2 linked regions of the Danio rerio genome follow. The protein of the gene in region 2 binds, or shares a complex with, the protein of the main gene of each other region. Links are inferred from orthologs where the notes say so. Each region holds a gene or a part of one and is shown on either strand. Other genes may lie near its edges. The genes, in order: cnn1b and itpr1a.

Region 1 (4,469 bases), on a different chromosome or scaffold from region 2:
ACAGTATTCTGTGGTGTTGCAAATGGCTTCTGTGATGTTTTCTGTGGTTGCTATGAGTTTATGGGTGGTTGCTAAGGTGTCGCATCTGCTAGGTTTGTTGCTAGGTGGTTTTAGAGTGATTGCCAGCTTATGTGAAGCTAAAAATAAGAAATATCAATAATTTATCACAGTTTAGCATGCTTCAGCGTGTCACAGATGCCCCGGTGTGTATAAGAGAGATCTTTTGAAAACAATTAAAACGGCTGCTGCACTGTGTGTGACTCTGGTGTCTGGAAGCACACTGTGTTCATGTTTTCGCTCAGCAGCTCAGTCATGCACGTACAGATCCTGTGTGTCTGAATGGGGAACATCAGATTCTCCGAGCTCAAAGGGACCCTATCATGCAAGATCAACAACTGGAAGAGGTTTGAACAGTGATGTGTGCAGGAATTATGTGTACACTGTCATATTAGAGTGCTGCAAACCATTCAATTCATCTTTATTCGATTCGCTCAATGTAGATTGTTTCAAAGCAGCTCAACATAGATGTGTTTGTTAACTCAAAAATGAACAATTACTCACTATTTACTCTCTCTAAAGTGGTTCCTAACCTTCAAGTGTTTCTTTTTTCTGTTGAATACAAAATTAGATATTTTGAAGAATGTTAGAAACCGGTAACCATTGACATTTATAGCAGAAAAAAACAAGTACTATGAAAGTCAATGGTTATAGATTTATAAATAAATTCTCAAAATGAATTATTTTGGGTTTAACAACACCAACAACAATAACAACAACAAAATAGAAACTCAAACAGACTTGGAAAAGTTAATAGTGACAAAATGATGACAGAATTTTCAGTTTTGTGTGAACTGGCCCTTTAAAACATATTTACATAGCAGAGTTAAGAGTGCTTTGTGAGAGCTAAAAAAAAATAATTGTAATAATGCAATGCTACATAAAAGCCAGACTACATTTTGCCCACACTTACACCTCTTAGCAACAAATAAACAGTTGTATTTGCTATTTAATTGCATTTATGCCAACTCTTGTGTAACGCACCTTCAAGCTTCACTTCAGAAGCCAATGTTACAGTATAAATTTTGATCATGTAAGGAGGCTTATACAGATGTAACTTTTACATCAGAACAATGTGCTAATGTGTTTTAGGTCAAAATCAAAGAATAAAATAAGTGAATCAAACCAAATGAATATCAATCAATATAGAGTCACAAAATAAATTATTCATTTATTCATTTTCTTTTCGGCTTAGTCCCTTTATTAATCAGGGGTTGCCACAGCGGAATTAATCGCCAACTTACCCAGCATATGTTCTACACAGCAGATACCCTTCTAGCTGCAACCCAACACTGGGAAACAACCATACACTCTTGCATTCACACATACACTACGGCCCATTTAGCTTATTCAATTCATCTATAGCGCATGTCTTTGGATTGTGGGGGAAACCGGAGCACCCGGAAACCCACGCCAACACGGGGAGAACATGCAAACTCCTAACAGAAATGCCAATTGACCTAGCCAGTGCTTCGAACCAGCAACCTTCTTGCTGTGAGGCGATCATGCTACCCACTGCGCGACTGTGATGCCCCCAAAATGAATTATTATGGGCTAAAATCAGAAACAAATAGTTGTAACGTTTTTTTTTTTTACTATTACACTTATTACAGGGTAAATAACAAATTTTTACCTGTAAGACATTTCATAATGTTCCAATATTTAATATAATCCTAGATAATATTTCAAGCTGCCTTCAGACAAATAGAGCCTATGCATTGAATTTTACACTTTATTACTGTAGTATTGTGAAAAAAACTATGATTTAACCACTTTACAATGATTTGTTAAAAATATTTTACAAGTCTAATTAAAGTATTTGCAGTTTGTCACAGCCTGAACTATAGCCTAACTTTCGTTACCTCTTAACTAAACATTTACAACTAACAACGAATGTTTAAGTAACACTTTACACAGCGTTAACCTATAAAAGAGTGAAAATGATTGTGTGTTATAATGTCAATCATCGACTTACCAGAAAGTAGCCTACATTACTCGAGCTCGGAGCACTCGAAAGATTTACGCTTGCTGTTTGTTCGAATTACTCATTTAAAATGAGCTGAAACAACCCAACTCATGAGTTTATTTTTGGTACAACTCAATTGTTTCATGTTCAATCAACCTAAATTTGTAAAGTTCCTTCACGTTGTCTTAACACAAATCAACTTTGTGGACCCCAGCACTTTTTACACTGAGTGCTGCTATGGATATGTCTGTTCATGAGCGTCAACTTAACATACTTTGTACTATTTCTGACAGCCAAAATGCTGTTATAAAGAAAACAAAATTGTGCGATACAACTACTGTAATAAAATACGGATTTTTAAGATCTCCCTCATTCCTAAATGTGGATTCTGTCAACATGTACTCTTAATCCACTTGTTCTAAACCCGTTTGAGGTTTTTTTCTTTCTGTTAAAAACAGAGATTGTTAAACTGAGAATGTTGGAAAAACAACCATCGACTTGCTTAGTATTGTTTGCTCCCACAATGGATGCCAATGACGGCTTTTTTCAACATTCCCCAGAATATTTGTTTTGTGTTCAACAGAAGAAATTCATAAAGGAGAAGAAGCACTTTAGTGTGAGCGAATTTAAGGACATTTTTATATTTGGGTGAACTACCCCTTTAAACTTTTGTTTTGACTTTGGTGAAGTTCATTTGTCGAGTAAGATCCCTACAACCATCTCATCATACATAAACAACCTGTTATGATATATCTGAAATGATGCAAGCACTCATAATAAACCTATTCCATTTACATAAGTAATGTTTTCTTGAATAAATGATACAGTAATCTGTCTGATTTTATTAGCCGCACGTGCTACCTGCGCATATTTGACAGCTGTCAATCAAAGTGATGCCTACCTTACTCTTGACCTCCGCGGACAGTCCGAAAGCAGGTCCGCTCTTGAACTGCGTTGACATCGTGATTCAGACGAGAGGGCGGCGATATAATGTTAGATCTGGAATCTCCGGTCCGACTGTCCGATCATGTGGGGAAGGTTTGGGCCACATCTTCTTTTCCACAATCTTTTTTAAACTCTTCCCATCTGTGCGTGCGCGGAGCGAGCGCCGATTGGCCGGGGCTGACGTCCAATCGCGACGTCACGCAGCTCTGCACAAATGATGTCACCGGCATGGCATTAAACGCGTCCCATGTCACTTTTTCCACTTTGAAGTGAGTTAGGGATGCCTCTGATTCGTCCAATTTGGTGTTTCTCGGTTGATTTTTGCTTCGTATTTAAAGTGCTGACGCAACACAGCACCAAATATGTCTATTAACTAAAATACCCAAAACAAACAAACCTTAGAGTAAAACGAATTATGAATGGCACATGATCATGATTTAACACATTTATTTCCAGCGAAACGCAATTTCCGTACTTATATCAAAGTGTATCATGTTGATAATATTCAATGATGAAATTTAAGGGCCTCTTTATAAAGAAGGTCAAATAAGAGACACAATTGAAGAGTTTAGATACAAAAACCTCTAAATGCCATCTGGAATTTTCCTCTAAAATGAGCATTTTTATCAGGTTCCTGTGTGTGTGTTCAATAATATTACTTTTATAGCAAAGAATAAGTTCTTATCCTGTTCTTTAAAGTGAAATATCTCTACATAAACATATGAGGTTAAGACAAATGTTCTTTTCAATGGAAATTTCACATGGCATTTAGAGGTTTTTGCATCTGAACACTTAAATTGAAGTCAGAATTATTAGCCCCCGTGAATTATTAGCCCCGTTTATTTTTTTCCCCCAATTTCAGTTTAAGAGAGAGTAGATTTTTCAACACATTTCTAAACATAATACTTTTAATAACTCATCTTTAATAACTGATTTATGTTATCTTTGCCATGATGACAGTAAATAATATTTGACTAGATATTATTCCAGACACTTCTGTACAGCTTAAAGTGACATTTAAATGCTTAATTAGGTTCATTAGGTCAACTAGGCAGGTTAGGGTAATTAGTCAAGTTATTATTAAGAGGGATTATAATGATGGTTTGTTCTGTAGCCTATTATAAATATAGCTTAAAGGGGCTAATAATTTTGACCTCAAAATGTTTTTAAAAAATTAAAAACTGCTTTCATTCTAGTCGAAATAAAAACAAATAAGACTTTCTCCAGAAGAAAATAATATTATCAGACATACTGTGAAAATTCCTTTGCTCTGCTATACATCATGGGGGGGGGGATGAACTATTCAAAGAGGGGCTAATCATTCTGATAAGCAAATGATGCTATAAACAGCAGAGAGTTGTATGAAAGCAATTGATGCATGACCAAAAGCAAACAATTTGTTTGAAGAAATGAGAAACTGCTACTATGATGTGCACAAACGACTAATTGTTTTACCTGTTGTGCAAATATAAATAGTGTTGTGAGAACTGCAGCAAAGCCA
Region 2 (4,262 bases):
ATATGATCCTCATAAATTAGTGTCATACTTTACCAGTTGCACTGTCCCAATTCGCCTGAAACCTGCTGTGTAATAATAATGATTTCTGATTATTTTTAATCTTTCATTTTTAATTAACCACCAATAAACTTTGAGTATTTGTTTAAATTTAAGTATTAGGTAGAAAAGATTTATTATTAGGAATATTTAATACCAAAAGTGTCCTATAATTTAGCTGTTTTGACATAGTCTGTATACATCAAAATCTTTGAGTCCTTCTCTGTTAACACATAATGACTTAACTTTGATCAGAATTCACAATATGTCTTTACGTTTCTTTTCAAGTATCTAAATAAAATAAAATAAAATTATTCTGAATCAATTTGTCTACAAGTAAACTTCAACAGACAGTTGTAGGATGATCACTGAATCCAAAAATGCACTCAGTCTAAGATGATAAAATGGCTTTAGTGATACTGAAGATCACTCTGGTTATTTATAGGCTACATTTTCTGTTCAGGCAACATGGTGGCTCTGTGGTTAGCACTGTTGCCTCACAGCATGAAGGTCACTGGTTCGAGTCCAAGCTGGATCAGTTGGCATTTCTGTGTGGAGTTTGCATATTCTCCCCATGTTCGCTTGGGTTTCTCCAGATGCTCCGGTTTCCCTCACAAGTCCAAAGACATGCGGCAAACTAAATTGGCTGTACACTGAAAAAAAAATATTCAAAGATGATTCCTTGGATTTACACTTTTTTTACATTAAGTGGTTGTAAACAATTTATTTGGGCTGAATTTAAACAAACAAATTAAGCTGAACATTATTAAATGTAATTAGTTTGTTTAAATTCAACACAAATAAATTGTGTGCAACAGTTCTGTGTGTGAATGAGTGTGTATGGATGTTTCCCAGTACTGGATTGCAGCTGGAAAGGCATTGCTGTGTAAAACATATGCTGGATAAATTGGCGGTTCATTCTGCTGTGGTGACTCCTAATTAATAAAGGTGAAGGAAAATGAATGATTTTTTCTGTTCTGTAGCCTATTTAAGAAACAATTTTGTGTACCACTTTATATTAAGAACTCACTCTTGAATCAATTTGACAGTACACTTGTCAGAAATCTAAACATATAAATGAGTACAACACATTTTAAATGTAAGTAAGAGAAGTTACTAGCTATATGACTCCCCAGTCTCATCCGCATATTTTTTGCTTATTTATTTGCTCTAAGTGAAAGCAGTTTCTCTTGTCTCTACAAACTGTTCACACACACACAAAATAAATAAATAAATAAAATAATTTATTTCTTTCAATGGGGAATTTCTGGGTCTTGTAGTTCTTTAATATCGCAGATTATTAAAGTAGCCGTGAGGCGCGGCACCGCTGAAACACTATTTCCCAGAAACCCCTTGAACTCCGATGCAGACAGAGTCACTCGGCAAGCCGAAAAGAGACGAACATCATCGGGGCGATGGACCGCTGCTGGACTTGATGAAGAGTCGGGATAATAACTTTCTCAAACAGTGGACGCAACGTTTGGGAAAATACCGACACTATTGCCCCAGCTTCGTCGGAGAGAGGTGAGATCTTAGCTACACAACTATAACCGGACTACTAGAAGTTGTGTTGAGGAAACATGCTTTATTAAATATTTATGTTATCTGCGGGAGAGCATCGCGCGCGCCCCGCTGATCTGAACCCGCCCCTAGGTTAGAAAAGCTGCCGTGAGAAAGTCGCCTACAGAAAGATGAAGAAAAAGATACAAAGTCGGCGAGGACGACACAAGTGTGTCAACTGTTCACGGGTGATGGGTTTCTTCTTGTTTTATGGAAATGCTTCAAAACGTAGTATTAAAGAAGTCAAGGAAGGGTCTGGTGCCCTGAGTTTCTAAAATGACTGTTTCCTGTATAGTTAATGTATCGCAGCTTACTCTCATTACTGTCTTTTTACGCTTTGACATTGTTGACACGAGGATATAATTAGTTTATTTGCTGAAGGAAGATTCAGCTGTTGCTCAATAAGGGACAGTTACAACTACAACAGCATTATAAGAAGCTACATGCAAAACAACAAGTAACAAATGTATAGTTTTAATGTAATATGTGCAAGGTTTTTCTTTTGTATGCAGATGAACTGAAGACTACTCGCATGCAAATCCCTCCTCCGCTCTCTCTCTCTCTCTCTCTCTCTCTGTGTGTGTCTCTGCGTATTAACGGTTTGGTTGGCTAATCATTTGTTAATCAAATCAAGTTACAGGAAGAATCTGTGGTGAGGATACAAGCGTCAAACGAGTTACATGGAACTGTTACAGTCATCCTAAAAAACGTTCAGAGTTTTTACTTGTCATGTTTATTTTTTTTTTTGCAGTAGATTGCCATGTCAAAATATCTTAAATGTTGAGTGATCCACATTTTTAACAGTGATAGATATAGTGTAGAATTTAAAGGGTTAGTTCACCCAAAAGGCTGAGGGGTTAGTACTGCCAGCTCAGAGCAAGAAGGTCGCTGGTTCGAGTCCTGTCTGCGTCAGTTGGCATTTCTGTGTGGAGCTTGCATGTTCTCACTGTGTTCACGTAGGTTTGCTACCGGTGTTTCGGTTTCCCGCACAGTCCAAAGACATGCGCTATAGGTGAAATGAATCAGCTAAATTGGCCGTAGTGTAGCTATGTGAGAGAGTGTATGGGTGTTTCCCAGTACTGGATTGCAGCTGAAAGGGCATCCGTTGTGTAAAACATATGCTGAATAAGTTAGTAGTTGATTCCGCCGTGGCGACTCCTGATGAATAGCTGAAGGAAAATGAATGAATGAGTTCACCCAAAAAAGAAAATTATGTTGTTAATTACTCACTTTCATGTCATTCCAAAACCATTAGCCCCTTTCACACAGTGATACCGGTAAATATCTGGAAAATTTCCGGAACGACTTTACCGGTATATTCAAAAAAGCGCTGTTCACACAGGCGAGGACGTTACGGAAATTTTCCGGAAATGAGCATTCACACATATCCATTCCAAAATACCGGTAAATTGTCACATACAACCTTTAAACGGCTGCGCTTGTATTTGTAAACATTTGACTAAATTACAAACTCTGTGGATGATCAATATTGTGAACAACTTTCGCAGGATCACTTTCTCATGTCGAGATGTTCATAATATGTGCGTGTGCAGGCGCTCACAGGCTGTTTCAAAGGCACACGCCAAGCTAAAAGGTAAACAAACAACGGCTTATCATAAGCATCTCATCGATGATTATTTACACAGTTGGCATAAAGAAGAACATATAAACGTGATCTGACTAACTTCTAGCAGCTAAATGTGTCTGGAAAAATATTCAAAGGTTTTTATTCTCACAAACCACGCGGACGTAAATGCGTCTGACTGTTATGATTGGCTAAAGCAGACGTCTCACGTCAGCACGTTCTAGACGTGCACGCGCTTATTACGGGAATCTTCCTTCTGCGTTCACACAGCGCAGCATTCCGGCAAATTGTCGGTAATGTTACAACTTCTCTTTCCGGAAAATAGCCAGAACGAATTTACCGGTATTTTCAAAAAGGACCTGTTCACACATACAACCTTTCCGGAAAATTGCCGGCAATTTTCCGGAAAGGTCTGTATGTGTGAAAGGGGCTATTGAGACTTTTGTTTAACTTTAGAACACAAATTAAGATATTTTAGATGAAGTCTGAGGCCCCAGTTTACATTAATACGTTTTAGTTTTAAAATGCATGTTTTGCTACGGGTACGCCTTCTGTCCACATTACCACATTAGTTTTCGAGCCCAAAAAATGAAGCGTTTTGGAAATGCTGGTTTCAAAACACTGCTGCTCTGTGTCAGTGTGTTGATGGGGGAATGCAGAGACATCTGAAAAAGAAGCGTGGCTGCAGACATCTGATTGGGGCTTTTCTCAATATTAAGTACACAAAGTTCAGTCTTAAATACTTTCCTTAAGTTCAGACTTTGCAAGTTTGATATGGAAAATAAACTTCTGAGGACAGGTCGGGTAAATCTTCAAAGGGAACAGTGTACTTTATACCCTCATTCTCATCACATTGTTTATGTTGTTTTACTATCAAGATAAATTCAATATCACTTTTAACAACCAAGATGATGTCCAGTGGTAGATCCTTGATGAACTGTCTGACATCTGCTGCTCTCACCTGGGTAGGTGTGCTCAAAGCACCCGTTGACTGCCTGTAGCTCAGGCGTTCACATACACTACAGCGCATGCCAGAGTGTGTGTTTAGTCATGTGAGGTGCGTTTTAAGTGATGTTGTGTG

The links.
Region 1: itpr1a (region 2) and cnn1b share a complex: the UniProt entries of both Homo sapiens proteins name them as parts of the cGMP kinase signaling complex. The link is inferred for Danio rerio from reciprocal best matches to the Homo sapiens genes ITPR1 and CNN1.

Annotation. Positions count from the first base shown.
Region 1 is NC_133178.1:13,111,578-13,116,046, reverse strand, and holds the start of cnn1b (calponin-1), read right to left. Parts: upstream 3,071-4,469; 5' UTR 2,985-3,070; coding exon 2,925-2,984; intron 1-2,924. UniProt on the Homo sapiens protein: Thin filament-associated protein that is implicated in the regulation and modulation of smooth muscle contraction. It is capable of binding to actin, calmodulin and tropomyosin. The interaction of calponin with actin inhibits the actomyosin Mg-ATPase activity.
Region 2 is NC_133181.1:42,473,114-42,477,375, forward strand, and holds the start of itpr1a (inositol 1,4,5-trisphosphate-gated calcium channel ITPR1), read left to right. Parts: upstream 1-1,435; 5' UTR 1,436-1,560; intron 1,561-4,262. UniProt on the Homo sapiens protein: Inositol 1,4,5-trisphosphate-gated calcium channel that, upon inositol 1,4,5-trisphosphate binding, mediates calcium release from the endoplasmic reticulum (ER).